Lonchura striata: one gene and its partners. The protein of the gene in region 3 interacts with the protein of the main gene of each other region in a pairwise test. Links are inferred from orthologs where the notes say so. Each region holds a gene or a part of one and is shown on either strand. Other genes may lie near its edges.

Evidence for each region.
Region 1: the proteins of BMAL2 (region 3) and CLOCK interact in binary tests that used the Homo sapiens proteins (3 or more experiments, as listed by UniProt). The link is inferred for Lonchura striata from reciprocal best matches to the Homo sapiens genes BMAL2 and CLOCK.
Region 2: the proteins of BMAL2 (region 3) and EPAS1 interact in binary tests that used the Homo sapiens proteins (3 or more experiments, as listed by UniProt). The link is inferred for Lonchura striata from reciprocal best matches to the Homo sapiens genes BMAL2 and EPAS1.
Region 4: the proteins of BMAL2 (region 3) and NPAS2 interact in binary tests that used the Homo sapiens proteins (3 or more experiments, as listed by UniProt). The link is inferred for Lonchura striata from reciprocal best matches to the Homo sapiens genes BMAL2 and NPAS2.

Annotation. Positions count from the first base shown.
Region 1 is NC_134606.1:27,395,063-27,403,055, forward strand, and holds the start of CLOCK (circadian locomoter output cycles protein kaput), read right to left. Parts: upstream 3,184-7,993; 5' UTR 3,075-3,183; intron 1-3,074. UniProt on the Homo sapiens protein: Transcriptional activator which forms a core component of the circadian clock.
Region 2 is NC_134605.1:16,709,551-16,717,055, forward strand, and holds the start of EPAS1 (endothelial PAS domain-containing protein 1), read left to right. Parts: upstream 1-4,468; 5' UTR 4,469-4,506; coding exon 4,507-4,553; intron 4,554-7,505.
Region 3 is NC_134607.1:1,590,383-1,598,216, reverse strand, and holds the start of BMAL2 (basic helix-loop-helix ARNT-like protein 2), read right to left. Parts: upstream 3,259-7,834; 5' UTR 3,124-3,258; coding exon 3,063-3,123; intron 1-3,062. UniProt on the Homo sapiens protein: Transcriptional activator which forms a core component of the circadian clock.
Region 4 is NC_134604.1:87,285,687-87,293,491, reverse strand, and holds the start of NPAS2 (neuronal PAS domain-containing protein 2), read right to left. Parts: upstream 3,060-7,805; 5' UTR 3,057-3,059; coding exon 2,764-3,056; intron 1-2,763. UniProt on the Homo sapiens protein: Transcriptional activator which forms a core component of the circadian clock.

The DNA of each region.
Region 1 (7,993 bases), on a different chromosome or scaffold from region 3:
TTAAGATGAGAGAAACAGTTGAATGGTTTGGCAACTATCTGTAGTCTCACACTTTTTTTGTCCTCTAGAGATAAAGCTACTCAAAACCAGCTACTGCTCCTCCAACAGCCTGGTGACTCCTGATCTTGTGCCACCCCTTCAGTGGTGAACCAGTTCATTAACACTGAAAGGTTAAATATACTTTGCAAAGTAAATAAACAGAAATTAAGAATGGCAGGAACAATCACTACTGACTTTGCTATGCCAGTACCTACTAACATCACCTCATAATCCTCAGAAACAGTTCTACACCTGCTTTCACACTCAGCCTTCAGTTTGCAGTGCTCATAGAGAAGCTAGTGCTTTCAAAAGGCTGAAACACTAAAATAAACTTTTCTTCACTTCAGAGATCTACCAAAGTCTTTGTCTCGAGCAAAACTAATTCATGACAGTGTGATGAAAAGGCACCTTTCAGCTGTAATTCCAATTCTTCTGAATTATATTTTGTATTAAAAACTGTATTAGGATGATAATTTTCTACTTCAAGAGGAGAGCTATCCATAGTCTTCATTATAAAACTAGGCTGAAACCATGAGGCACTGACAACAAATTATATGTATCTCCTGAAGGAAAGCGTAGATAAAAAAGAAGCTCCTTTCAAATGAGGAAATTACCTAGTAAAGAAAACTGCATTTTTGATTCACAAAACTTTTCAATACAAGTTTATTTGTTTTTAATAAAAAAAACCCCACAACTTTCCAAGTTGAAAAACATTTAATATAAAGAACATGTGGAGAAGGTGAGGGGCAATACCTCTACTATCACTTAATACCTTCAACTTTTCTCAGAAATTTAAAATCGGGGCGGGGGGAGGGAAAGCAAAAGCCTAAAGCTCTTAAAAGCAACAATTTATTTTACAAGACCAATCCAACCACAAAGATTCATGACTTCCATGAAATTCTATACCAAGAAGCTAATTAACCAACACTGCAAATAAAATTTAAGGTAATTACCACTGAGTTTTAAAATTGCTTAGTACAAAGAGAGCAAAGCTACCTACAGCAGAGGTTTGGAGGTCCTTAGAAGAGCATTAGTAACAAAAACATACTCCTTTCCTCACATTCTTTTATTTTACCTAAATGTGTTAAAACTTTTCCATGTAAGAGCATGAAGCGGAAGAAATAAAAAACAAGACATGGCTGAATGGCACCTGAAACTATTAAATATCAACCCGGAAGTTTGGGGTTTTTTTCCCTGTTTGAATTGTTTGTTAAGAAGCAGTAACCCTTGCCTTACCAACAAAATTCTCAGATAAACTTGCCATATTCTACAAAAACCTAAACCAAATACATTTTGTCTGGTAATCTGAAAGCAGCATCTGTAGCAAGTTTGAGAAAGTGTCTTAAGTGGATACATATGAAAATTAATAGTTTAACTTATAAAAAAAATTAAAAGCAAAATTACTTTCAACTAGAATCTCCCTATTACAACAATCAAATGCTGTCCATTTTCAAATAACAGGCCCAAATCCCACAGATATTTATAAACAAAGTCAATATTATTTCTGTAAAACTGAACATTGTGAAACAACTGCAACTGTTCATACTGAACTTTGCCAGGACTACCACAGTCGAGCTGTATTTCTCAAGTACTTCTTTCTCTAGAGTATTTGCTTAAACAATCCTCTTGCCTCCTGTTACACCTGTTAGCCAGAGAAATTATATAGGTTAACTATAACCACGTTAAAAAGAAAAAACAAAAACACAAAACCTAGGTAGTCAATTTTAACCTGGATCATTTCCTCAAGCTAGTTACAGGACCGATTTCCAAGAACCGTTGTGCTGGTGCAGCTGGAGCAAGGAAGAGGCAGACCAGGTCAAGTCAATACTGCCACCAAAAGCACTGCTTGTCAACCAGTCATTGAAGTAAAAATACCTACTTTAAGGATTTAGAGCATCAGGTTCTATGATCGGCCACTCTGCGTCTACATAGAGTTACATATTCCAGCCAAAACCATACCTGATTTCCCCTATGCCTCTTGGTAGGTTATCTCTTTAGCATATGAAAACAGGTATACAAAAATCTTACTGCAAATATATTTGATTAGTTCACAAGCACTACTCCCCATGGAAAAAAACCAAACATTTCCAATTTATACCGAGGCCTAAAATATCTGGAACTTGAAATTGAAACCAACGAAAAATCGTGATCCAACTTAACCCAAACACAAAACTGAAGTACCATGGATTTCCAGTCCCTCGCTGCTCGTATTTCACACCTGCATGCACGGAGCATTAAAGAGACTGACTTTAAGGCCGCAGTAACTCGAAAAAGGACCGGGGTATACTGAGAATCCCTCAGGTTTTACGAGCGTGAACACGTTGCGGTTATCGCAATAAAGTTATCGTAACCCAAAAACAAAGGGAAAATTAAAAGCCTACGAAGTGCATACGTAACCCCGCAGCTGCAGCCCACCTGCCGCAGGGAGAGCGCGGGGCACGCTCTCGCCACCGCCCGGAGCCCGAGGCCCCGCGGAGCTGTCCCGCCGCGGGGAGGGCCCGGGGCCGGGCGGGCACCGACCGCCGCCCGCCCGCCGTGTCAACACCCGCGCTGCGGGGCCGCCGCCGGAACCTCCCCCGCGCGTGGGGCGGCGGGCCCGGGCGCGCCCCCCGGCTCCCGCGGGACGAACCGCCCCGCGGAGCGGCGGCGCAGGGGCCGCGGGGGGAGGCGCCGCCCGCAGCCCTGCTCGGCCCGGCGCAGCCCGGCCCGCGGGATGCCGGGGAGTCCCGCGCCCGCCCGGCCCGGTCCGCGGGCGCGGGGCCAGGCGGGCGGCGCTCCCGCCGCGCCCCGGAGTTGTGACAGGAGCAAAGTGGGTCACCGGGCCTAGCGGGTGCCCCGCGAGCGCCCCCCGCCCCCGGCCGCGGCCGTGCCCGCCCAAGGGCAGCCGCTGCACTCCCGCCCCCCGGTTCGCGGCGGGAGACACACGCCGGCGCTGTCAAACTTCCTCCGCGCCGCGCCCCCGCCTTCCCCTCGCCAGCGCACACCGGGCCCCGGCGGGTCCGCCCGCACCGCCCCGCGCCGCGCTCGCTGCTCACCTGGCCCCGCGCTGCCGCTGCCCGCCTGCCTGCCCCGGCGAGCGCCGCTCCACGCGCGCAGCCCCGCGCCCGCCGCCCGCCGGCACTGCCTGACTGAACCTGCTGCTCCCGCTCCTCCGGCGGCGGCACGGCAGCACCCGGGCCCGGGAGTCCCCCCGACACCACCGCGCCTGCGCCGCCGAGCCCCCACCGCCGCCGGCCGCCGCGGCGCCTCGCGCCACCGCGCGTGCGCCGGCGCGTACTGCAACCCGCGGCAGCCCGGGGCCGCCGCCGCCGCCTCCGCCGCGCGTGCGCAGGAACGGCACGGCGGGGCGGCGATCCCCGCTCTGCGCGCGCGCCTCGCCTGGCGCGCGGGGGGGCGGGGGAGGGCTGCGCGCGCCGCGCAGGCGCGGTGGGCGCGCGCCTCCTTGACCTCGGCTCACCTCGCCTGGCCTCACCCCGGGGCGCGGGAAATGGCGGCGGACGGGGCGCCGCCCGCCGAGCCCGCGGAACGGGCTCGCTGAACGCAGCCGCTTCCCCGCCGGCACCGTGAACCCGGCGCAGAACGCCGTCGCACGCGTGTTCCGAAAGCGGAACGAGCGACATCCCGGGTCCTGTCCGGGAAATGCGTCCCGAGGTATTTAGGGGTTCAACGAACCCGTCCCAGCGGAGGTCCGTGGTTTGTTCTTTCCTGTGCATAAAGCGGAGAAATTCCCAGAGCGGCAGAGACCAGACGTGTTTGCCTCAACCCTTTTGTACGTACGAGGCTTTTAATACAGTTCCATAATATTTAAATATAAACCTGCTATGCCTGCAGCAAAACATTGTGGCGAGTCGTTTTTTGTAATATAAAACGCTTAGAAGTAAAATTGTGTAAGTAATCCAAATTTTTTTCTCACAGTTAAAAGGATTTTATTTTTTAATTGGTATCTGAATAGCAATGTATTTAAAAGTATCTGTATAAGTTTAATTCGTGTTTATGTCTAGAATAAAATAAAGAACTTGACTGCAAATTGTCATGGATTTCTTTCTGGGTTACTTTTCAGGTAGTTCAGTTTCCCCATTTGATTCACAATCGTGACCAAAGTCTAGTGCAAAGATACTGTAGGGACAGGAGCTTCTTTACCAGTAAAGCTCCCAAAGAGCTGACCATAAGCTTTTCCACTGGAAGAATTCTGAAAAACATTAGCAAAACTGTTTATTTTTGTTTCTGATTCACAATACTCTAATTTTAGCTTTCAGTTGAGGAAAATGTGGCATAAGGAAAGATAATTATACTATCTTATGCACAAAGGATAACACTTATGATAAAATGTAGTAGAGACAATAGGGTAGGATTGGAATATCAAGGAAAAAATGCAGGAATATTTTCACCAAAAATGCTTATTTATCAGAACTAGAATATGGCAAAGAAACCAGGAGGCTACAAATAACTTTGCGCTGTATCTATTGAATTTTCCAGAAGATCTTTAATAAGCAGTGGTAATTCTTCAGAAGAAGGGGTGCTGCACTATCTCTTCACACCTTGCATGAATAGGAGCATAACACCTACTCACTGCAATGTTGCAGTGACAAATTATTCTTTGACAAGATCAAAACAAGCAACACAGCTGTGGAGATGATGCACATTTGCATTTTCTGCCAAAGCTGTGGCCTAAGCAAGGTCATTTTTTTAATGCTGCTTTTCTTTTGGCAGTATTTTGTAGGATCCTGAAGGAGCAGAACAGCTTAGAGATGGTGTGGTGGTTTTATGAACTATTCTTCTAGAAATACTATTGCTCTGCTCTTGCCATCAGTGTGGCTTTGCTGTGTAATGGTAGTTGTGGTTCACTCACAGACTGTGAAAGCAAACACAACTTTTAAACAATGCCAAATTAGGAGCAGCAGATCTTTTGTGAATTGGTGAACGGTTGGACTCCATTGAGCTGGAAATGGAGACATTTCCAATGCACTTCCATTAACTAATAGCCGTATTTCCTAGAGAAATGCCATTGCTGTCCTGCATAATGTACTTCAGAGCCACAGAATGACCACCTGCTTAGTGTGCTCCTTTTTGATCCACACTGGCCTGTTCAAAAGAGGATCTCTTATAGGAAACTGGTACCAAAACTAAATTTCACATCACTCCAGAATACTAAAATGAGCGGATGTTAACTTGAAATCCTGTCACAATCCACATAACCCTTGCAAAGCAGGGTTGGCTAATATTCCTGGAGCCTTTTCTGCCAAACAGTGTAAATGACTCAGTACCAGAAACATCTGGTTTTAACCTGCAGATTACCTTGGATTTTGCTGCTGCTTTGTCACATCTGATGGCTTTTATTACAACCGTGTGATCACTTTGGTTGAACAAAGGCAGGGTCACCAAAGGGGGATGTTTGGCTCTTTTCCTGTTGCATCTGCTTCCACTGTCACACACTGTCCCTTGCAGCAGCCACAGTAGTGGGAGGGAGGCTGGCAGCTGAGAGGAAGCAATGCTGCTTTTATAGCAGCCAACTTTGATACTTGAAGGGACTGTGCAGTCGTATCTAAAGTCCCTGATGACCTATTTACATTTAAAACTACTAGCTAGCGTTCTAGTTTGAAGTGGCAGATAACGGCACATAAGCCGTTGTCTCTGAAATGCTTCTACTAGTTATCTCTGAATCTGGAAAATAAAAGCTTCCAGCAGTGGTATCTGCCAGTAGGTATCCACCAATAGGCTTACCAAAGGGGTAGAAAACCGTATTTGAACTAACTTATGTCAGAACACATGATCTTAATTAATTTTTTTTCAAGCAATACATGTTTTTATCTCAGTAAAATATCTTACCATGAAATTGCAAAATACCGTGCCTAGGCAATATTCTTACCACAGAATTATGTAAATCTTATGCAAGTTATTTGCCTTTTTTTCAGATTCTTTTTTCCCTTCAAAAATAATCAAATACCTTTTCAACTTTTAAGAAGTGGACTTTAGATCTCCTCCCCCTTGTTTAGCTATCCCAATGAACCTGCCTTGTATTTCACCAGTTTATATACAAATACTGTGGCTAAACACCTTGTAATTCTGAGTGCAGCAGTTTACAATGGCTTTGAGAAACTTGCCTTCTGGAAACTTTCAGGCCAGCAGTTTGAGGTGTTCATTAACCAGTAAACACATTGGGATACTGAAAAAGAATAAGGAAATATAATGACAGTTGTGGTGTAAATGATGTGTAAAATAACTGAAGTTATTAAAGCATTTGAAGAGCACAAGTCTTCTATCCTATAGTCTGCTTCTACTTTAATTTGTTATAAGAATTGCAGGACAAATTTTATTTAGCTTCTTCCAAGATCATTATGATTTAAAGAGCTGTTGAAGTAAAAAAACATAGCAGGCACAGTCTAAGAAATATGTTAGTAAAGCTACCAGACACTTCAGGCACTGTACCTCAGTTTCATTCCTCACTAAGTTTTTAAAACTGATTTTGTCCATTGTAGAATTTAAATAATGTTTTTGAATCTGTAACATACATTCTACTTTATTTAAACTAGATTTTAATTTAACATCTAAATACTTCTCCATTCCCTAAGTAACATCGGGGAAACCTTTGTATATTTTTATTTTTAGCATGTCTTACCATGTTCATTATTTTCATAGTTACTATTTAAAATACAATCTATATAAACCCCAAAAATCAACCAGGAAATGAAGAAAACACGGACACAGAAAATGCCAAAACCAACAGGGATTTTTTGTTCCCCTCCAGGCCTTTGAGCAATTAGGATCTTTTGAATCTGACTGAAGTTAAATCAGCTGGCGTGGCCTGTGGACCTTGGAGGTCAAAGGCAGGTGATCCAGTTTTGTCATGAGGATTTTTGTGGATACTCATTCCTAAGGGATTACAAATTTCCTCAGAGGCTCTTATTTATGCAATGGTAAAATATAGAATTGCTTCTCCATTATATAAATCAAATTAAAATCAAGAAAGGCCACTGGTTTCTCTCTTCAGATCTTGAAATTTAAATTACTGTAATTCTAACAATTTCATTTGGTTGTCCTATTCCTTTTGCTCCTGGAAAAAATATTTGATTCCTGACAATTGAGAAGAAACCCCCTCCCAAAATACTTGAAGGAAAAGATAAAACTGTATGGGTATTCTCAGTTCAGTCAGAGAGAAAGGAGAGTTTCTAACCAGGCTGAATCTAAAACTGGTCTGAATCTAAAATATGATTATACATTCTGTACTAATTCTCAGTGTTTTTCAAAAACATCTGATAGAATTGCTAACATACACAGAACCAATCATGGGAGTCCTTTGACATTTCTGCTGCATCCTGTCACAACTTCTGCTACCATCTGAGAATTTACAGGGCCATCGATAAATTAACAAGTCCCCCAGCTTTCCTCAGTTTACGTAACTGAGACTTTTTCTGATGGGCTTTTGATTTGTTCACGTCAAAGGAGAAATAAAGGTAGAATAATCCTGTTAGACCACTCCTGCTGAGAAAAGAAAGTGAAAACAATGGACACCACTTTCTTAGTGAAACCCAGAGCTCTCAGTAAGGTTACATACATGGTGATAAACATGCACAGCAAAAGAAATCTTCCATGTATTTGAACAAAAGTGAACAATTAACTCTCACAAAGTGAATTAACAAATCGAGTAGGTCAGATGCGCTATGATTCCATTGTTTCTAAGAAATTGCTATTTCATTAGCCACTCTTATTTAATTTTTCTAGATTTTTTAAAAAGTGCTAGTTCAGTTCTTTGTGTTGAAGTATTCTACATCTTATGCAAGAATGTAATTACCTTGACCAATAAAGATTAATCATAGCCCAAACATCCTCTGGAGCATTTGTAAACTTCTTTCACATACTGCTTTCCACAACTTTCTCTTAGCTTCACATACTTTTGCTTCCTCTGAAGACATTTCCATTCCTGCAAGAGCTGCTGCTTAATTAGAGAGTAAAAATA
Region 2 (7,505 bases), on a different chromosome or scaffold from region 3:
ATTTTTTTTATATTTCCACTCAAGTAGTCCCTGCTTTCTCTTGTAGATCTTCTGTATTCTATCTGTATTTCATAGGGATCCCTTTTTCCCTGCTAACAAATCAACCTGAAGTTTGAAATTTTACTATATCACTTGCTATTGTGCTTAATAAATATTCTGTGGCTTTAACTTACTCTGGTATGAGTAAGCGAAGAATGCTGTCTCCTTCCTCCAAAGCATCAGCTGTGTTGAATAACAGGGCTCTCTTTTCTCCCATTCCTTTCCCATAATGTCATTATTTGTTATTACAATAATCAATTTTTTGAATTTGCAATATTGAGGAGCCAGAAAAAGAAATAAATCAGACAGAGATTATCAATGAAGCTAAAACACTTTATCCTCTCAATAATTTAAGAGCTGCTTTTAATTTTAAAAATTATGCTTCCCCTGCAAGAGATAGAGTATCCATGTTTTCTTCTGACTACTCTGGAGCATTAATTGCTGAGCAGCGTCAAACTTCTGTTTTACCAACACGCTTCAGTCAGTGCAGTGCCAGTAGCATGCATACATAAACCGGAGTACTAGAAGTGCTTTGACTTGGCTGATGATGGCTATGCGCATTCAAACCGGAGTAAGTGCTGATTTGGATGGCTGATTACATACATATGCACATCCTTGGAAAAAAACAATGCAGCATAACTGGTCCTAAATCACTGGTGTGTTTCAGAATAAATGGCATTAATCAGGAGTCGGCCAGCATCTTGTTTGGGTGATGGGGTGTTCCCCATGAGCACCAGGAGCCCTGTCACTACCCTGTGCAGATTTCCTAGCTTGTCAATGCGGTTTAAACTTCAGTGTGGGCTGTGAAAGTTGCTCTCACACCACCGGGTTTTTTTGTAAGTCTCTCTTTTCCCCAGAGTTTAGTCCAGACACAGCTGACATAAACTGGTCCCCTCTAGACTTGAAGGACCCTTCAAGAACCCAACTGATAACAAGACAGATATCAATGACTTCTCAAATTCATCACCTGAAGGCTGCTTTTAGAAATTAAAAACTTTGTGTTCCTATAGCATCTCTAGAATAATTCACATAGGAAGAACGTGTGTCATCTTCTCTAAGACACAGCAGCTTGTATTTTCTCTAGCCAGTAAAAGTAAAGAAGTCCCATCTGGTATGCTGATTCTGCTGAAATCTTTGATGAGGGGAGGAAAAAGAGGAGTTAACCCCTGTTAAGTTCAGTTCATGAAGTTCCCCGAAGACTTTATCCTCTTCCATGAGATTTTATCTGAGTTATATCTACTAAGCAAAGTGTAAAACGTAGCAAATGCAAGGTAAAATGTAAGGAGTAACATTGGAATATGAAATGGAAAGAGCCTTTACAGTGCTGATAGCAATCAACAGAACAAAGTATGTTTGCTGTCAGTTTAAGGCTTTGTTTGGCTTTTCTGGCAGCTGTATCTTCTGTGGTTAAATAGAGCAGATTTGTAAAATAAATGTGCTCACTAATGGCGTAGTTCCTATCGAATTTTCTGAGTAGTATAAGGTTAGAGAAAGTCCATGTTATGCTGGGTACTGCTGTTAATAAATACTGACTCATCATAAAGGAAATTAAAATACTAACAAGATGCATTTGGAAATACAATTATGTGATTCTCTCCACTGTTATCCAGCAAGGAGAAACCCCAGCAAGCCTTCCCAAATGTGCTGTGGGATCCCTTATCACCACAGAATGCGTCTAGTAAATTGACAGTGGTATTAAAGATACATTTGATCTTCCCCTCCCTGAACAGTCCTGGGAAAGAGAATGAATTAATAACTAAAGCTCTAGAAGACAGGCCTTTTTTTTTTTTCCTTCATGTTCAAGATGGGGAGCTCATTTGCCAGAAATAATAGTATAGACAACTTCAAGAACTGAAGCTGTGAGGGAGCTGTAAGAATCACTCAATCTTGCTTGCTTCACCTTCCTGATGCAGCAGAAAGATTCCTGTTTTTCTGGGCACTGACCTGTGCTGAAGCCCACCAACCTGTCTGTGCAGGGGAGGACAGGACAGGTGGTGGTTCTTAAGTGGTGCTCAGATGTGAATTCTCCCAAATTCTCCCAAAGAACCTTCAGGCCCTGCTGGCCCAGAGAATGAGAGATTTACACTGTTAATCAACTACACTGTATCCATGTAGGCTGAGCCAACAGGAGTCTGGCCAATGAGCTAGATGTGAAATACTTAAAATTTACTGAGTGGTTTAGATTTAGTCAGTTTGAATGCTTTTCTTGTCTGATTTTTGAAGGCAACTTGTTTATCCAAGTGAAGTGTTTTAAGATACAGCAAGGAGCATTGACATCAGCAGAGATCAATGAAGGATGAAGAGGTCTATTTAATCTAGGAAATGAGTGACTTGGGTCTTTGATCCTGTTGCATTCTCATATTCCCAGAAGGTTAAATTTAGTCCTGCATACACAAATTCTGTTTGACTAAGTTTACTTAGGTTTTAAATATTTGTGGCTTTCTTTTGTTTAGGTTCTCTTGTTATACAAGAAAAAAAACCCAACTGTTACCACATAATTAGGCTGTTGCTGTGTAAGCATGTGTAGCTCTTTTCAGACTTGAGAGCAGAATATGCAAATTCAAACCCAAATGCATTTCTTTAAACTTTCATACAATATAAAAGAAAAGGAAAACACCCTCTGACCCATTGTATACAAACGAGCCTCTGAAATGACATAGGGAAATGGCTCAAATTTGTATTAGCAAGAAATAAGTCCTGTTAGTCTCATGTTGCCTACAATACTTCCATTTTCTAGAAGAAAACCTTGTGGAGCCTAATACAAAGGTGTGCATTTGGTTCAAGATATAAAAATGTAGAGAACATGAGGATAAGCTGAAGTTTCTGCTATGCTGAAAGACAATATCAGGAAAATTTTTCATAATCCCTTGTCTAGGAAGGTTAGTGGCTTTGGTGTAAAATAAACAGAGCTCAAAGCAAGAGGGTTTTTTTTATTATTTACATTTATCTTAACTCCAGCAAGCTATAGCAGGTGCTAGCACGAGATGAGCTTCGGCGCTTCTTGCCACAGACTCGCTCCACCATGTGTCATCAACCACGAGTTTTAAAAGTGCCTGAATTGAAATATCCATTATGACACAGAAAATAAAATCGAAAAAACAGGGAGAGGAAGGAAGTCCCATCAGGGAGGTAAAAGAACAGCCCTTGCTTCCTTGCACATCCCTCTGCCCCCAGCTGCTGCCACACTCCCGCTCCTCCGTGTGCGAGCCGGGCCGAGGGCGGCCCCGCACGCCCGCGATGGCTCCGGGGCGTCGCTCCAAGCCCGCACCGTCCTTGTGGCTTTTATTTTCGTAATATTCAATTTATTTTTTCGACACCCATGCCTCGGGCTGAACGGGGGGCGCTCCAGGGGGCGAGTGCGGGGCAGCTCCCCGCTTGCCGGAGCAGCGCTCGGTGCCGGGGCAGCACCGCAGCTGCTCCGCGGCCGCCGGGCAGGTGTCGCGGCGGCCCTCGGACCGCACCGGCGGGGAGACACCACGGCGGGGAAAAAAAAAAAAAAAAAAAAAAAATTAAGTTTAATAACGAAAAACTTAAATAACTAAAAAATAAGCGGCGGAGGGGTGGGTGCCCGTGCGCGGGAGCCCCGCCGCAGCCGGAGCGGTCCGGCGGGGCGGAGCGGCCCCGCTGACCCCCGGCCGGGCCGGTGCCGGGGGCGGGGAGCCCGGGGCGCCCCGCGGGCCCCCATTGGCCGGCGCGGCGGCGCGGCGGGGCCGGGCCGTGCGGGCCGGGTCCCGGGCGGAGGGGCCGGCCCTGCCCCCGCGGCCGGCGGCTGCCCAAGGTTTAAAGTGAGAACTTTCTGCGGGCGGCGCCGAGCTGTACAGCCCCGCCGCCGCGTCGCTCCTGTCCCGCCGCAGCAGCCGCCGCTACCGCCGCCTCCCCCGGGCGGGCCGTACAATCCTCGGCAGTGTCCTGAGACTGTACGCCCGCCTCGGGGGCGACCCGGTCGAACCGGACCCCGCTCCTCGCCCGCGGAGCCCCGCGTCCCGCGGGCAGGTGCTGAGCGCGCCCCGGCCCGAGAGGCGGCGCAGGAGCCGGCAGCAGCCGCCGCGATGACAGCTGACAAGGAGAAGAAAAGGTGAGGGGCCGCGGGCGAGGCGCCGCGCTGCTCGGGCCGCTGCGTCCTCCTGCGGCCGCGGGACTCCCCGCGGGCAGGCGCCGAGGGGGCGCTGCCCGAGGGGGCACCGCCGGCGGGACGGGACGGCCTCGCCTCCCCCCGAGTGCGGCGGGACTGAGTTAGTTCGCCCAGCCCGGGCGGGGAGAGGGCCAGGGGCGCAGCGCGGCACCCCTTGCGGTAACCCGCGCTCCGTCTGGGCTGGGAGCGCTGCCCGGGGAGCTGCCCCCGCCGGGCGGCACCGCGGCCGGCAGCGCGCCCGGCCGCGGCCCGGGGAAGGCGGCCCCCGGCCGAGCCGGGCGGCGGGCAGGTGCACCTGGCAGGCAGGGCCAGCCAGCCGGTGTGCGGCCAACGTCATGTACGCCATGGCACGGCTTGGTACCAGCGAGGACAGAGGTAGTAGGTAACTGTTTTTCACTCGAGGACGGGGGTTTTGAAGGTAGCAGCACTCTTGGCAAAACGTGGTTTATAATCAAAGTCGCGTGGGTGAAACTGACAGGCTGTGTAAATATTTCGCCACCTCCTCGCTCCAGTCTGAGACGCTGGCCGCGGTGCATCTCCCGCGGTTCGCGGAGCTCCTCGGCTGCCAGCGGGTTTTCCCGGAGGGTCGAGAGCTCCAGGAGCGCCCAGCGCCTCGTTTGCTGCTGCCCTTCGAGAGGGATGTCAGGCTAGACATTCCCACACTGCCGGAGCGACCCTTCCAGCGGGAATCAAAGTAACGCACTGGTGGTTTTGTAGTTCATCGAAGAGTTGGTTCTTGAGAACAAACGTCAAAATAAAAGTCAGCGGTCCATAACACAGAAGTTACAGGTGGAGATTAAGAGAAGAATTATCTACTTATTGCTCCAAAGTTATAAACAATTCCTATGGATGAGAGAGGGCACGGGCATGGGGAAAACTAAGCAAGTGAATAAAGGTCTGTGAAATCCTGTGAAAGGATATGGATGCAGTCTGTTTCATACAGCAGGCAGTTACAAGGATCCGTTGATTATCGGCACAGGTTCTGGCTATAGATTCTCTATAGAGATGTGGATTATAGACTAAGAATTTTATGTTGCTAATTTGTCGTGCGTACTATCCAGTTGACCATGCAGTAAACTTTAAACCCTGGGTTTTTGTTTGTGTAATAGCTCCTTTTTTATTGAGTCACCCTATGACAATATAATAGGGGAGGTGTAGTGGTGTAAATCATTCCTTTTCCCTCTAGTTTTGTTTTCCTCAGTTTACTGGAAACTAAGGTTAAACAGTTAAACAGTTGCTTCAAGTGTATTTTGTTTTAGATAGAGTGAAGAGTAAAAATATACGTACATTTTGTGTCTTATGTTGTAAAAGTAAAAATTATTGTACAGTACAATGTAGTTAAAAATGTGTTAGTTTATGAAGCAAGAGGATGAAATAGTGTATATCTTGGAAATGCACTGCATTCATTGTATTACCTCTTTTTAATGGGGCACTCTTTAATCTCTTCAGTTTTAACCTCTTTCAAGCAGAGTAAGGGATTGAGCAGTGTCTAATCTTGCAGGACAGCAGACTGAAGTGGTTTGGGGAAATACTCTTCAGATACTACACAGGCTTCAGAGGACTGAAGTCTGAACCCTGATCCTGACTCTGTCACTGCTTTTGAATATTGTGACATTCAGTGACAATTTTTCTGTTTCTCTCAGAAGTAGGCTAATTGTTATCTGGTTCATGGGATTGTTGCGTAAAATAATGTTTGTGGAAGAATTGGGAGAGTGTCATATGAGGGACTTCAGATAGCTGGCTTGTGCCTCCCTGTCAGTGTGCTGTGGATATCCCCACTGAGGATGTACTCTATGTTGCTCGCTAAAACAAGATAGTTTTGCTTTCTTCATTTTCCTGTACTATTATAGAGTAGTTTTATTGCCTTGAGTTTGACAGTTAGTATATTGTTTGCTATATTTTCCGGAACAGAATAGATAAGACACAGCAGCCCAAATTGCGAATAGCATTTATAAATCACTTTCATGGAGAAAAGGTGGGATGATGTTACCAGATTTCCAGGCAGCTCTGAAACTATGTTGAGGAGCAGTTCTCTTACTGTCAAACAGATGTTCTAAGTAGGATAATCTTCATTTAATAATGATTCATTTAATGGTCCGTTTAAGTTGAAGAACATCCTCAGGTCCTCATTTGAAGCTCTGTTTGCCAGCAGAAAAGAGCAGTTGCTTTATTTAGAACAAATGTTATGGCACTTTCAGTAGGCTGATTTCCCACCTTTAAAGTTAGTCCAAGATCCAGAGTTGAGATTAATATGATTGCTCTTTTGATTTAAAAAAATTATCTAGACAGTATTAGATCCTCTCTTAGAATGCCAGTAATTAGGAACTGGGAGAAGGAGAAATAAAAGGGCATAACACATTTTAGCAAATAGTAAAAGCAAAGGGAAAAGTGTCTGATCTGTACAGCTGTGCAGTACAATGACAAGTAGTAGGTAAGTCCCAATGTAATTAGAGTAGCCTGATACAATATCTTGTCGTGTTTTTTAGTGATTTTCAAGACAGTTATTTTGTTAGGACTGGCTGCTGTGTTAAATGAACAGCTCTGGATAGACAGCAGTGTCTATTTGAGAAAAGTTTGAAACCAGGCTCAGGACAAGCCCCAAGTACCACTGAGAAGGATGCATTATTTGGCTTCACCTTTTCAGTTGTGTTGGTACTTGGGAATTCTGTGTTTGTTTTCCAGTTTTATGAAAAATAAACCAATTTTGCAGCTCAGGGTGTGCTAGTGGTCCCCATGTAATTGCACAATATATTTTGTGACCATAACCATATAACATTACAAAAATCCATTTAACTTTTTCTGGCCCAGATAGTAAAGAAATGGGATTGCCCCCAGTTATTGTCTAGGTAATAGACTGCTTTCATTTACCCTTTTACTTTGGGCTTTATTTGATGTTGAGCCCCTCTAATGAGATGCTTTGTGCCTCAATTTTTGCTGACCTTTTCCTTCAGGAGAGTAGTTTTGCCAAGCTGAAGTCACTCTTGGCTGTTCCTCCTCAGGATGAGGAAACTGTCCTGATGGCACAGCTCTCCAGAGCTCAGGTAGTTAATTGCTTGTAATGGATATAATTTGGATGTCAGGAAATGTGAGCATTTGGATGTGCCAAGGTGTTAAACTGGAGATTTCAAGAAACATACAGTCTGTTTTGTTCTCCCCAGGACATTTTCTGTGTGTCACTACTTCCAGGTATGCTCCCTATTGCCTGTGCTGTTGGTGACCGATGATCTTGTCCATTCTCTTGCCAACTTGGGTTTGTTCTTACACTCTTTTAAACCTCACTTTATGTACTTTAGCTGATGGAGCTTTGAGCACTTTCCATTGCAGACTATTTCAT
Region 3 (7,834 bases):
GGCTTTGGGGTGACCTCACTGTGGCCTTGCAGTGCCTGAAGGGAACCCACAGGGAAGATGGAGAGAGACTCTGGACAAGGGCCTGGGGTGACAGGACAAGGGAATGGCTTCACACTGACAGAGGCAAGTAACTCCACACCACGTAAAAATTGTTTCACTTTAATCTGGAGTTAAATTTCTAAACTTTTTGGTTTATTTTAATGAATTCTTGCTGCAGATATTAATTTGAGAGCGTGGCAATGACACACACAGCCTACACACACCCAGGAGTGTGTGAGGAAGAACGTTACAGGTGCTGTGTACAGCTTAAGGTCCTGCACATCTCTACACCAATACAACAAAGAACCATATTTTCTACACATAGCTGAGAGTTGTACTAAAAAATCCTTTGAATTTATTTATTTTAGACCTTTAAAATAGGCCATGAAAAGCATTTTCAAATTACTTACAGCAAGTCCATCACCTACAGTATCTCTAATTGAAAGCTGGGACAACAATCTTTGGAATGAAGTTCTGAAAATAATAGAAATGTATGGATTAAAGCAGCTTCTTCTTTGCCCAAATTTTAGAAGCATGTGTAATGCAGGAGCAAGATACAGAGAATTCAGTAATGAAAGTATCTTATGAACAACACTATCCAGAGAATAAACTCATCTATGTTAAGAACATTGGATTTGGTTTTAATCTCACAAAATGAAAAAAATAAAAAATTAAAACACTCTGAATTACATACATTTAAATAAAAAAATAACAGAGGCAACTGATTACTCTCCGCATCTATTTTTACTTATTTTCATCAGCTGGAAGAGAAGCAGTGAAGAATCACAACTTGCCACTTAAATGACACATTTACTTCACAGATTTCAAACACAAAATATTGGCAAAATCTATCAGTGTATTAAAAAAATAAAATAAGTCAGGAACCAGCTAATGAAAAGATACTCCCAAAGGCCTGGAAAGGGTACCCTGCTTTCCCAGGCACTTTCATGTTCACACCAGGTAGAAAGCACTGATAGGAATCGGGAGTCTCATATATCATAGCTCATTTCTGAAAACAAACAAAAAACACAACCACAAATCCCCTCCAATCATACACTCCTAGAAGAATGGTGGAGAGCTGTTTTCTTGTAAGTTTTGGAATCATGTGATTGCAAAATGCTGAGTCCTATCAAGTCAGCTGCAGAACTTGATTGGTTTTAGCTGGCCCTGCAGTCCAAACAGGGAATTTTCAAAAGTTCACAATGATTCATTTCCGAAATCACCCACCAAATTATTTCTTCTTACAATGAATTTGATTCTTGGATGTGAAATGTCCAGTTTAGAGTTGTTTTTTCATACCATGCAAAGGTACCAACAATGAGGTGTACACTCAAGTCAAAACAAAACAAAACAAAAACACCTAAAAACTTTTAGGCAGGTAATTTTAGTGTGGCCCTATCCCACAAACAATTAAGATATTTTTTGTCTTAAAAATAAAGAATCCCAAAACTTGTTTCATTAAAATCTGCTAAAAGAACAGGTATAAACATAGGCAGTAGAAGAAAGCAGGGATGGGGGTTTATCTCACAATAAAACATGAAAGCCTGTGATTCACTGATTTCCCAAATCTACTTGTAAATGGAAATGCCTGTGCATTTGCAGGTTTCTTCATTTTGATGGTTTTCTCTCCTTTCAGTATATGCATGATATAGAAACAATAAATCTTAAGTTTTAAGCACAGTTGAGCAGACTGCAAAAACGCTACCAAATCCCCCCCTCCACACACACACCACCACTTTGTTTTCAAACAATACATTATTTGCCACAAAATTTTACAACAGGATTTACACAGCCAAGCAGCACAGACAGAAACTCATCAAGGATTTGAAACAACAAGGATCCCCACATACATTAAAGCACACATAACCCAAGAGGCATTTAGAAAACAACTACTAAGCTTAGAAGAATTGGTGCTAACTATTACAGAGCTGCAGCGATGGCTCAGGAGGGACCGGACCATTTCTGTTTTCCCACACCCCGTGCAAAACGCTCCCTTTCTACTAGTTTCCCAGCAGGAACATGAGCAGCAGCTGGTGGTTTACAACCAGCCTTGATTTAGTACCAGAAACTTATGATTAAAAACATGGAAAGATCAAACCTTGGTCGCCATACAAGCGTGGGCACACACACAGACACACAGAGAAAAGCCAAAATCACTATACCTAAAATACTAAATTCTGTTTACCTACCAAAAAAAAAAAAAAAAAAAAATACTAGAGTTTTAGGAAGGCAAGGGTACGTGTGTACCAGAAACAGTGAACTACAAACTAAGTTTAAAAAAAATAGCAACAAAAAAAAACCAAAACCCCCCAGATTTTTAGTGCACATTGCATCAGTATGATGACACATCTGTCACAGCTGTACAGCACAGTGACCATTTCACAGGCTGATGCCAAGAGGATGGTGCCAGGCTCTTTTCACTGCTGCCCAGGGATAGGACAAGGAGCAATGGACAAACTAAACACAAGAAGTTCCACCTCAGCCTGAGGACGAACTTCTGCACACTGAGGGTGGCAGAGCCCTGGAACAGCTGCCCAGGGAGGGCCTGGAGTCTCCTTCTCTGGGGGTATTCCAAACCCACCTGGACACGCTCCTGTGTCACCTGCTCCAGGTGACCCTGCCTGGGCACGGGGGTGGACTGGACCATCTCCAGAGGTCTTTTCCAACCCCATTCCGCGATTGTGTGTTTCCGTGTGGGCGCTCCAGGTACCTCCACTGAACTCCCCCGAGCGGGAGCAGCCAGCGAGGAGCGCCCAGCAGCAATCAGCCACCAACCAAGGCGAGCGGCCCCGGAGCGGCGCCGGGCACGGGACCCGTCCCGAGCCGCCCTCACGGGAAGACGGCAGCGCCCCACGGGCACCAGCCCCACAACGACACCCGCCCGTGCCACATCACCGAGGCGGGCGGACAGACGGACGGACAGACGGACACAAACAGGCAGGCGCACCCCACACGGGGCACCGCGCGAGGGGAGAGGCGGACGCGGCGCGCGCCTCCCGCCGCCCGGGCGGACCCGCTCCCACCTTCCGCCGCCCGCCGCTCCTCCTCGGCGCCCTCCGCGCTTCCCGCTCCTGCTTCGGCCATGGCGGGCGGCCCCGTGCCCCGCTCCACAGCGCCCCCGGCACCGCCGGCATGCAGGGGGTGAGCTGAGGTGAGCAGAGGAGGAGCCGCCGGCGCCGCCGAGGGAGCGCGGGCCGCCCCGCCGGCCGCCGCTCAGCGCCCCCGCCCCGCCATGTTCCCGCCCCCGCCGCGCGCCGCCTCTCGCGAGACGCCGCTGCCGGCGCGCGCCTCCCTCACGAGGCCGCGCGGGGCGGGCGCGCGCCCCGGCCTGGGCCGGCCCGCAGCTTCCGGGACAAGTGCGGCAAGGGGCGATCGCGTAGACACGCGGTTTTTTGGTTGGTTGTTTTTTTTTTTTTTTTTTTTTTTTTTTGGTTTTTTTTTTTTTTTTTTGTCTTACAATGAATATAATTCAGCCGTAGAACACATCGACCGGGAGTGTTTTGCCAAGTTAGCAGTGTATACACAGACGTACATCAACACTGCTTTACCGCATCCTTAAAACATGTTATTTCCAGGATGTCCTTGAGTAAGGGATGCTGGCAGCTGTCTCTTCCAATGGTTAGATCTGCATTCTTGCCGGTTAGGCTTGGAAATACACAAAGGTCTTACATGAAAGAATATCCTGAGTTAAGATAATCTTGGCATATTCCCCGTTTTGCACCACTCGGGTTGGTGCCCTGCTCACATCCCTGGGCTGGGCAGGGCTGCTGTTCCTTTCTCCGAGTGTTGTACAGAGGATGCTTCACCTGAGGAAGTGCTGAAACGTAAATTTTAAGGAATTTAGAGATTTTAGAGGAGCTAAGATTTTAGTTAGAGATAAGCCTTACTAGAGTTAATTAAAATAAATGAGCAGGCCTTGATGAAATTAATAGTTAGTAGTGAACTAAAAATTGATTGCTTATCAGCACAATGTTTAATTAGCTGGGTTTGTAATGAAGAATATAGAAACTGACAAATAGCTTTTAGGAACTAAAGACAATTGTGGGCCTCCTCTGTTCTGAAACCAATTGAAGACAAGGAAAGGGAGTTCTACCAAGAGTTCATTTGTCATATTTGCATTGAAAAGGTAGAAAGGTCAGAACGAGGAAGACTTCATTGACTTCCTCATTTTGGGACCCCTCCCCATGAAAGGGACCACCGACCCATTTCAAGGAATAAACTACGCATGCTTAATAGCTTTTGGAGTGATTAGCATACAAAGCGGGGAATGGGATGTACCAAAATGATGAATACGTATTTGTATTTTGGGTATTCAATATTTGTATGGATAAAAAGAGTCTGTAATCACCTGGAAGGTGTGGTGTAGATTTGGGAGCTATCCCACACACAATAAACACACACTTTCTAACTTTAAATTGTTAGAGAGTTTTTATCCATCACAGTTGGATATCGGTACTAGATCAATATCCATATTTTTTTAAATAAATCAGTGTCAGGATCTTGGAATAGTTTTGGTCAGCAGAAGCCTCTGTGAGTGCTCAGAGAGCAGTCCCATCTATCAGTGAAAAGTAGCATAAAGTAGAGATAACCTTTACAAGTGTGCTGGAGTGTGTTAGCAGAGCTGTAGCTGGTTTTTGGCAGTACCAGGAGTGTGCTTCCGAAGTGAATGTGCCCGTCACGGTGCACTGGTTCACACCCCGGAGTGCCGGTGTGAGCGAGGGGTGCTCCTTGTGCACCAGGACCTCCAGGTGCATCTGTGAAAGATTAGTGTGTTCCAGCCGTTCCCAGGCATTCCCTCCCTCCAGCAGGTCCCACTAGAACCAGTCGGAAATTAAACCTCCACAACACGTGGACCTCGGCAGTGTCTCTTCCACGTGACAGAGCCTCTGTCACTGTCCTGCCCCGTGTTAGTGCAGCCTGTGCCCGCTCAGCTCCGCTTGCAGCTGTGACAGAAGAGGCTTTTGCTCAAGCACACAAATCCTGAACTGTGCCATTGACATGGGCTGCACAGGTGCTGCTTATAAGAAAAATATAAGAAAAATCTAAAGCTGTTAGAGAGTGTCCAAAGCAGGGTTAAGGAGATGATGGTGAAGGGCCTGGAGGTGAAGCCACACGAGGAGCAGCTGAGGGCACTTGGTGTGTTCAGCTGGAGGAGAGCAGACTGAGGTCAGAGCTCACAGCAGTTCTGCAGCTTCCTCACGAGGGGAACAGGAGGGGCAGCTCTGATCTGAGACCAGGAACAGGACCCAGGGCACGGCTGGAGCTGTGTCAGGACAGGGTTAGGGTGGGTATCAGGAAAAGGTTCTTTCCCCAGAGGATGCTCAGGCACTGAACAGGCTCCCCAGGGAATGATCACAGCCCCAAGGCTGCCAGAGCTCCAGGAGCATTTGGACAACAACCTCAGGTGCAGGGTGGGATTGTTTGGGTGTCTGTGCAGGGCCAGGAGCTGGATCCTTCCAGCTCAGGATACTCTGTGATTCTATGAACTCAGGCACAAGGGAACTTGAAGTGTAGCTGGTACTGCTCACCAGTGAGGCCAGAGCTGCAGAGTTGGTGACGTGTGTGTGGAGGAAGCTCCTTCTGCAGGTGTTCTTCTCCCACTGTTCTGGGGGCTTTCCCCTGCCTGTTGTTAATAATGGGGATCCTGTGGAGCTGGCAAGAGTAGCTGTAATATTTTTCAAAGGATATTATGTTCTTTCATCATCAGTTCTAGTGGTCACTATCTAAGTTAAATTTTATGTCTTTAGAGCTGCAGGCAGGGAATAATTTTTTCCAGATCTGGGGGCAGATTCTTAAGATAAAAAAACCCTTTGCTAAAACTGAGTAAGAAAATGTGACTAAATACACATGGAAAGGCAGTTGGGATCGTTCTCTTCTCCCAAGTAAAATGCAATAGGATGAGAGAGAATAGCCTCAAGCTGTGCCAGGGATGGTTTAGATTAAATATTAGGACAAAATTCTTCAATGAAGAATTGGAAAAGTCTGTCAGGAAAGTGGTGGTCACCAATCCCAGAGGTATTTAAAGCATGTGTGGATGTGGCACTTGGGGATGTGGTTTAGTGGTGGATTTGGCAGTGCTGAGTCTCAATGGTCTCCAGGGTCTTCTCCAAGCAAAATGATTCTGTGATTCTAAGGCCTAGAGAAAGTAAATCCCCCCAAAAAACACTGCAAGCCAAATGCATTCAAATACCTATACATTTTATGTAGTGTGGTGGAAAATCAGCAACTCACCTAGCTAGGTAAAGCTGGGGGGAAAAAGCCCAACCAGAAAACAAGGATGTGTTTCCTTCACAGCTTTCAGAGATGTAGGCAGAATTCACTTGTCTGAACTCCAAACTATAATCTTGAGGATGGTTCCTCAGACATGGTCCTGAACTCCATTCGTGACATCTTTTATAATTGGAAGCTCCCAGTACATTTTCCATCTGATGTGGAAGCTCCTTGTCTGTGTGGGAGTGGGCAGCTCAGCATCTTGCCCATGGCAGAGCCCAAGGATTAGAGCACGTGGAAGGAGAGGGTGCATGGCTCTGACAGAATATTCCAGGGAAGAGGCCAGGGAATCGTGGCTCCCAGCTGGGGGTGCTGCTGAAGAAATCCCATGGTGCTTCTGTGACAGTCTCAATGCACACTTCTTCATAGGGTACTTTTTTCCCTTGGAAGTCTGACTTTTCATTTTAGAGCTTTATGTTCTATGTAATCCCACTGTTACTACTGCAACTATATATATACATACATACATATATACATATACATATATCTATATATATGTATGTATATCTCCATCATGATGGGTTCAGCTGGTCTTGTCGAGTTTGCATTGAGCAGAAGGAATTGCAAGCCCTTTCTGCCCTAAATGAAATAAAAAACAGAAGGCAGCGCTAAAAATCAGTTAAGATGCTGTTGCTGTCTTTGAGAAAACTGCTAGCATTAATGCACACTTATTTTATTCATATACCACAAGTGATACTGAGAAAATTTTTTAAGGATTTATTCCCAGGAAGCTTAAATGTCATCTTTTGTCCTGCTAAAATACTGTCTTGCCCCAGTTTTGAAGCTGGGAGCTCACTCCTCCAGGTCTGCATGATCAATGGACACCCAAATGCTAGGGGGATTTCAGAAGTGAGTCAGCCACACCGACTGAAAATGTTTCAGGGACTCAGGAACCACAGAAAGCTGAAGATGGCTGTTGTTATAAAGCTTGATGAGTTAAACATTTAAATAGCTCCCCAAAACTGTTTTAACAAGCTTAATAGCTAAACAGCTATTAAATACAAACTCTCCACATGGGAACATTAATGAGGACATTTAAAATCTTTGGGTTTTTTTTTTTAACTGACTCACTAGAAACAGAACTACTGTACCTGATTCACATTTTATTTCATATTTTTTAGTGCAGTTGCAACTCACTGTGGACATTTTTGGCACTCGGTCAGAAAATCAGATCAGTCTCTTGGCAGTATTTCTGCCTGTCGTGCTCCTCCTCCACGGTCAGTGTCAAGTCAGCCAGCACTTGGATAATTCCTACAAACATAAAGAGCTACCAGATCATTAACACATATTTGAGACATCATTTCTTATTCTTGTTTCTTATTCAAAGGTGATGATCGGGCTCTTCGCTGAACCTTTAATACATGACAGTAACTGGTGTTTATAGCACAGTTTGCCTCCAGTCTTGGCAGAGCAGGATCCCAGTTTATGTAAGGCACTAATTTTGAGTAGGCCACACTTGATATTTTTGCCCCATTTTAAGGTGAGCACTTTCTCTTGAGTAGCTTTCAGCAATAAAATAGGGAAC
Region 4 (7,805 bases), on a different chromosome or scaffold from region 3:
AATCCAGGAAAATTATCTTTTTATACAGATAATGATCCTTCTGCAAAATCTGCAATTCAAGTGCATCTCCCTTAAGAGCCTAGACACAAAACTAAAAACACAAATGGAAGTTACCTAAGTTCATCTAACACAGAAAGAAAAGCAATTAAATGCACATAAAATGTGTATTTGGCTGTTATTTTTAACTGTGTGACATTTACCAATCCAGGGAAGAGACAAATAAGCAGAGGCAGGGGCTGAAACACAGAGCAGGCAGTGTGGGGAGGAAAATGATGAAAAAGCAGTAGTACCATGTCCTGGTTATTGAAAGAATGGAAACCACTGTGTTTCCGGATGTTCAGGTCTCCTGTCCCTGTACACAAGTGTCAAGTTCCTCCTTTCCACCATTCCTTCTCTTGGCGTGGGTTTACCACCTGTATCTACAGTTCCCTGCACCTTGTTCCCAAGATTTGTCATCCATGATCCCACAAATCCTTTGTCTCTATTCTCTTGTCTTCAGTTTCTCCATGTATCCATCACCAGTACTTCTCAAAAGTGGGACAGTTCTAGTACCACAATTTCTTGTCACCATTCAAGTGAATTAAACAGTCTCCTGCTTCACTCTTCCACTGCATCACCAGGCACACCCTGCCACTGAAGGCACAGTTGAGAAAGTCTTCTATTCTCCTTCCTGAACTCACTGTAGAAGCAACACCTTGGAAGAGTAATTGGGGGAAAAGTCCATTCAGCCCATCAGCCACCAACTGGAATGCTCTCATCCTTCCCAGGAAGAGGAGCAGTTGCTCAGCTCCTAACAGTGCTGGGATGTTCAGCATGCCTTGTGCTGAGAACATCTTCAAGCAAGTGCAACAGTCAAGCCCTCAACAAGTCCTCTCCCAAGAGCACATGCCTGGAGCATTGTGATAAAATTATACTGGAAAGAAATTCTGGAAGATTCTCAGAGGATCAACAAAATGCGCACCCCCATCACAAGATGATCCCAAGCAAAATATCTTTTCCTTGATCCAAAACATGATGCCACAAGAATTTAAATCTGAAGGAAAGTGTTTCTTAGCACAGTGAAAGAAATTCAGATTCCCAGATCAAGGTCTCCTAATGCAGGATGTATACCTAAACCATTTTCATCAAATACGTGGTCAAAGAACAAGTTTTTGTCTTACCACGTTCTCAGAAATAACCAAACCATTTAATTTGAAACTTCCCAAAGACAGTCTGCCTTCAGAAGGCACTCATCCTGGAAAATACCAGCCTAAGCTCAAGCTTAGGAAATGCATAACCACCTGACAGCAGATCATTGTACTAGAAAGCACTAGCTAATTTTAACTGTAGACAACATTGCTGCCTATGAAAAAAGAAACAACTCCTTCAAGGGCTCTTGCATGCTTCAGTGTAGAGATTTGGGAAAAAAAAAATCATAATTCTGTGGATTCAACCTTGCTAATGTGCAGGAAGGCACCTTTATTTATGAAGGAGAACTAATTTAGGAAAGCTCACTGAAGACCCAGGCTTTGGAGCACACAAGTGCTGCCAGCTTGAGGAATCACCCTGATGTCACATACCTAGTTCTAGAAAACCTTCATTTTCACATCTTCAGTGAATGTGCAGTTTGGTAATCACATTCTCCAAATACTCCTGGGCATCTCTGCAGAGCAACCCTGTGTTCTTATTCATCTACTGAAATGTATGCAGTATTGGGCCCTCCACCAGCTCTCAGAATCAGATGTGCATCAGTGGATGAGCTGGCTATGTCTGGACACTGTGAACTCTAATTATTTAGTACCACCAAACAAATTAAACCCACAGTTTAGTGCATTAACATCTCACACTGGGATAAATTAGATAATTTTCCACTTCAAGAGGCAACCACTTGTTGAACTGAATGCTCAGGTTGCCTGCGCCCATCCGAGAGATCCCTACAGCCCTTCTGGAGGTTTAGCGCCATGAAAAAATCCAAGTTCCTCTGCTGGCTGTAACGCTTATAACCGCTAATTATTTCTGAGTCACTTGAGTGAAAGTAAGCTGCCATCCTGTAGACAGCTAAGGAGTAGGGAGCAAAGTTTCTGGATGAGCGTGCTTGTTAATTGACAAATCAAGGTAGTGACCACAGAGGAAAACACCACGGCACAACCCCGTGTGAATCCGGTGGTGCCGTTCAGCCGTGTATTTAAGGTTTACCCCGTGCCACACACGGATGCAAACACGCGGGAAGGGAGTTCTGCGCAGGGCTGCTGCAGCAGCAGGGCTCTCCCAGCGCACGGCACAACCTCTGCTCCCCCCAGGAGCTTTCACCCATTCCAAATCCCCACTGCTCCTACTGGAAGTTTTCCTTGAGCAAACACCCGCCCGGTCGCATCGCAGACCCTGTTGCTGTCTGGCTTATAGGAACCCCCAAAGTCAGGAAATGTCCAACCACACCAAAACGAGATGGCGAGGAGGACTGCTTAGGGGGCAACTTATTTTCCAAACGGAGGGGCTCGCCCGGCCGGACCTCGCCAGCCCGGCCGGGACAGACACGCCGCACATAAGCGTGCTCCCCACGGAAACTTTCCCGCGGCAGAGCCATGCCACCCCGCACCACCGGGCGCGTCCGTGACCCCCACAGAGCGGGGGGCACCGCGGAGCTGACCCCGGCCGCCGCCGCGGGGGTCACGCTGGCCGACCATCCCGCGTGGGTGTCCCCGGCGGGCGCCCCCCGGGCGGGTGTCGCGAGTGGGCGCCCCCCGGGACGGAGGCAGGGGTCGGGGCCGCACGGCCGCGCGTTACCTGGGGTGCCGGTGCTGCGGGAGCGCGGCGGGGAAGCCCCAGCCGCCGCCGCCGCCGCTGCTGCTGCTGTCCGCGGTGGCCACCTGGGCGCGGGAACCGCCGCCGGTGCTGGTGCCGCCGAGCTGGATGCCGCCGCTTTTCCGGTGCCTCCCGGTGCCGTTGCGGCAGCGGCCGCCGCTGCTCCAGCCGCGCAGGAGGCCGGCCTCGGGAGCCGGCAAACTCTTCCTCGCCGACGAGGAGCCGGGGACGCTGCCCGCCTCCTGCCTGCCGCCGGTGCCGGTGCCCTGTCTCATGGTGCGCGGGGCCGCCGCATGCCGCTCTGCCGCCGCCCCGGGCGCCGCGGGACCCACGCGCGCCGGGGCCGGGGGCTCCGCCGGCACCGGGAGGCCGCCGGGAGCCCGGGCTGCTGCGGGGGAGTGCGGAGGCCGGAGGCCGGGGGGGCTGCTGGCTGGGGCTCCTGCTGGGGCATTAAGTTGGACGCGCGGCCTGGAGAGGCAGGGCGGGCGCGGGGGCTGCGGGGCCGATAGTTCTCCGCGAAGTTGGAGCCCGGCGGGCGAGGCGGGGGCATCCTCTCCGCCGGCCCTTCATCGCCGCCCGCCGCCGCCTCCCCTCGCCTGCCCCCGCCGCGGGGCCGCCGCCCCGCGCCCTCAGCGGGCGGCGCTGCGGGGGCGCGCCCCGCGCCCCGCGCCCATGGGCGCAGCCGCGGCGCCGGCGGCAGAGGATCTCCCGTGCCGCTTTCCTCCGCCGCTCGTAGCCTTCTCCGGCAGGGAGCGGGGGGAGCTGGGGGGAGTGGGGGCCAGGGGGAGCCCGAACGCGCGGTTGTTGCTCAAAATGGGTCAGGGAGGGGGAAAGGGACCCCGGCGCTAGGCGCCCCCCTACCCGCGGTGGGCGCCGGGAGGGCCGGGCTGGGGCGGTGGGTAGCGAGAGGGCTGCGGAGGAGCTCTCCCGCCCCAGCTCCTGTGCACAAGTGCAGGGAATGTTCCACTGACCTACATATTTTTCCAAACATACGTGACCTTTTTTTTTTTCTCTCTCTCTCTCTCGTTCTGTGGGAGGAGACAGGCGAGGATCCAAGAAAAGGAGAAGCTGGAAAGAGAACGAAAGGGGAAGCAGGGGAAAAAAAATCCTCAACCAAAGAGCCAGCCCCGCATCAAGGATGGTTTCACACCGCCGCCGCGAGCGAACCCCGGCGTGCCCACGTTTACATATGTCTGTAGCGATATCCCCGCTGCGCACCGGCGGACGCCTCGGTAGCCTGACCCCGGGAGCCCCCGGCGGCACCGCCGGCCCCGCTGGCCGGACTGCGCCCGGTGCCCGGCCCTGGCTGCCGGGGCGATCGGCGGGACCCTGCGCGGCTCCGCCCGGCGGGCTCGGGACACGCTCCCAGCTCGGCCTCCGCGCCGAGGGGGGTCCTGCGCCCTGTCCGTGCCCGCTGTCCCGGCGGTGCTGGCAGCGGGAACCGGGCCGGAGCGGGGCACGGCACCGCGCTGCCCGGGGCAGGCTCACGGCCTCGCCGGGCACAGACAGGAGCTCCCGATCTGGTTATGCAACGGCGCACAGGCAATTGGAGCAAAACCTTGACAGAGAGCGCTTTTTTTTTTTTTTTTTTTCTTGTTTCAAAGTAGGTCATTCTTTTTATTCCCTATTTTGCCTTTTTTTTTTTTTTTCTTTAATACTCTTCCTGCAAAGTGACCAGTAAGAGAGAAGGCGGTGTGGTGTGTTGGAGCGCGATAGGAGCTAGCGATCGGAGCCTTGCTCTTGCCTGGACGGGCACTCCTGCCGGCTTCTGGAGTTGCCCTTCTTTCCGGAGTTGCCCTTCTTTCCCCAGGAAGGCACAAGTGGCCGGGGAGCGGGGGCACGGCTCAGGCAGAGCCCGCCGCCTCCCCGCCGTTCCCGGCCGCGCTCCCCGAGCCTCCCCCGGCTCAGCCCCGGGCGCCGCGTCCCCCGGGCCCCGCCGGCTATTGCCCCCTGTCTGCTGTCGCCCTCGCACTGGCTTTGTACCCGGGGCTTGTTGGCGCTGCTGGCGGACACCTTTCACCGGCAGAAGGTGTTTTCCCCGGATATACAGTATTTGCTTTCAGGAGAGTTGTATTTTTTCTGTTCAGAGGAGTTTGCTGGGGAGGGAAAGCCCCCGTATCGAGGTGCAAGCTGTGTCCCTAGCAAAAGGCCTGACTGCACAGCCATGCCTCTTTCCATAGTTTGTGTGGTGGGGCAGGTGTTGTTTCCCCGTGCCCCCCCATGCCTCCTTCGGTAAAGACACGTTAATCCTTGCAAAATATCCACCAGCAGAAAACACTGCCTGCTCCGGGTATGCGTGTGTGGGTGCAGCATGTGGACTGATGGTTGCTCCAGCTACCTGTCTCCTGCAGGGAGCTGTGCTGCTTCTCCCACTACCTTCACCACCCAGCTCACCCAGTTATCCCGCTGTGATGTTCACCTCCTGCCATACACCTTATCCAGCCAGTTATTTGATCCAATTCAATCCCCAATGCAAATATGAGTAATTACAAAGTATGGAAAAATGTTGTGCTCCTTTGCTGAGCACTTTTACACCATTCTTTATACAACGGGCATGACTAATGTCGAAAGGGTAACGTTGTTTACTTTTAACGAAGATTAAATACAAAACTTCAAAAAGCTCCTCCCTTCCTTTGGATGAAAGCCAGCATTTTTTCCCATTTGGAAATTGTCAAACAGTGGTTAAACAATCCTTTGGCAAACAAGTAGTGCCTGAGGGAATAAAGCATCAGATACATGGGGAGTGGAATAAAAGACATTTCTGTTCCTGAGGTACTTTTCTTGTGTTGCACAATGAAGTATAACATAAAATCTTCAAGCCTTGTAAGGTTAGAGAAAAGGAACTTCCCATGATTATATACACTACATGATTTGATATTCCAGTCCTTTTGAAAACCTACCAAAATCCTTTCTCCAGACCAACACTGTGCTTTCAGAAGCTGGGAAACCAAGTACCTTAAGGAAAATACCAGGTTGAGAAATGCAATCAGAGACACACAGGGGCTCATGTACAAAATTACATCTCTATCGTACTGTGTTTTTACATCTTCCCTGTGAATTTCTAAGGACACCGTTGCACAAGTGAACAAGTGAGACTGGTTGAGGTTTGTTTCTTAATTCATTCCCTAGGTTACCAGAGTAAACTTTAATTAGGGCAACAAAGAGCAGAGCGGCTGAGGGTGAGGCAGGCTTTTCCCAGCTCATACCTGAATCCCGTTGTGAAATACCAGCCATTCAAAACACAAAGCCTTTCTCCCCATCCAGTGACACATGGAAAATAACCAAATGCTGTCAATCCCATGTTTGGGTTGGAAATTAACCAAAGGGTTATGCTAGATGCTACACGTAAGAACTTTAGGCAAGGAGCCCAACGTTCAATTTTAAAGAATGAAATCTTTTAATAATAATGAAGTATTAGTAAGCAGCTTTTCAGACACCAGGAGCCTGTGATTCAAAGACGCAATCCCTTTTGTTTCGACTAGAATAGGCTGGCCAACCTTCACAGCCCAAAACAAGGCAACAGGGTTTTCAATAGGCTGTGAACCACAGGCTAGGTGTCTCCCAGGGAGGAAGACCAAGGGGAAGAGCCTGAGAGGACAGCAGCACCCCAGGGATCCGGCTGCTCCATTGTGGCAAGACCATGGGAGGGATTTGGTGTTGGGTGTGAGTTCAACCCAGACACACTGTGTTTAACTCTGTTGATTTCTCTTGCTGCCAGGAGTTAAATTTATGAGGTGCTGCCACTGCAAGGCACAAGAGCTACTTTGGACATCGCTTGGCTCCAGAGTCAGAGCCTGGCCACCACAATCTGGAAGCAGAGGTGTCCCAAGTACCTAAAGGGGGCCTACACGAGAGCAGAGTCACTTTGCAAGAGCATGTAGTGATAGGACAAGGGATAAAGGCTTTAAAATGAAAGAGGACAGGTTTAGATGAGATATTAGGTGATTTTTTTTTTTTTTTTTTTTTACTATGTTGGTGGTGAGGCACTAAAACATGTTGCCCAGAGAAGTTGTGGGTGCCCCTCCCTCACAGTGATCAAGGCCAGGTAGGATGGAGCTTTCAGCAACTTTGTCTAATGGAAGATGCCCACAGCAGGATGATCTTTAATGTACTTTGAAACCCAGAAGGTTCTGTGATGATTCTCTGATTGGCTGTGCTACATAAAGGCTTTTAATTTTCAGCAGACACCAGTAGATATTGTGGGGAAAAAGATGTCATTTGCAGCCCATAATTGAAATGTGAAGCCTACATTCAGATTAGTGTTTGTGTAGAGGTAAATAGGATTCTCCCAAATAATCATCCTCTAATCAACATAAATGGCAACAGTGGTGCAAAAGTCAGAGATGGCACTGCATGGTAGAAAAAAAATAAAGGACATACAAAAACCTGACCAATTCCACTGGATATGAAACTGTTTCGTTTTCAAGAAAGTAAGGATATGGACAAGGATTCATTTGATTCATATTAATTAAGGGGCACAACAGACTGTGGGCAATTTTTCCTACCTTCCATGTTGAAAGCAGGAGCAACAGGAACAAATAAATGGCAAATAAATCTAATGTCTCATGTTAGTCAGAAGAGTCACACCAGCTGTGTTTGCTGGGAGCTCTGTGCTTCTTTCCAGACAGGCTGGCTGGGGGAGGAAAGCATGGGAGCACAAGGACAGATGTGAGGAGCTTGTTCTTTGGATAATGTACTTCTGTAACCAATTTTGTTAGAAATTTCTGCAGGGAGGAATAGTCTTCTGGGCATCAGCATTATTTTTCATTCTGTGGCTTGCAGCTTTCTGAGGGAGGGAGAGGTAGTGCATACTTATCAACCAGCAGCACAGTCTTCGAAGCAGGGAAAAGCAGCGAGATGCCACAGTGAAATGGACTTTGAATGAATCCTACTGGAGCTGCCCCAAGCACTGGAGTAGGATGTTTGATAGGTTGTCAGGATCTGTTCCCCTAGAAATCCAAACTCCTTGTTTTTCTGCACGGTTATTACAAGACAAGAGACAATTTGCTGATTTGAACTTATTT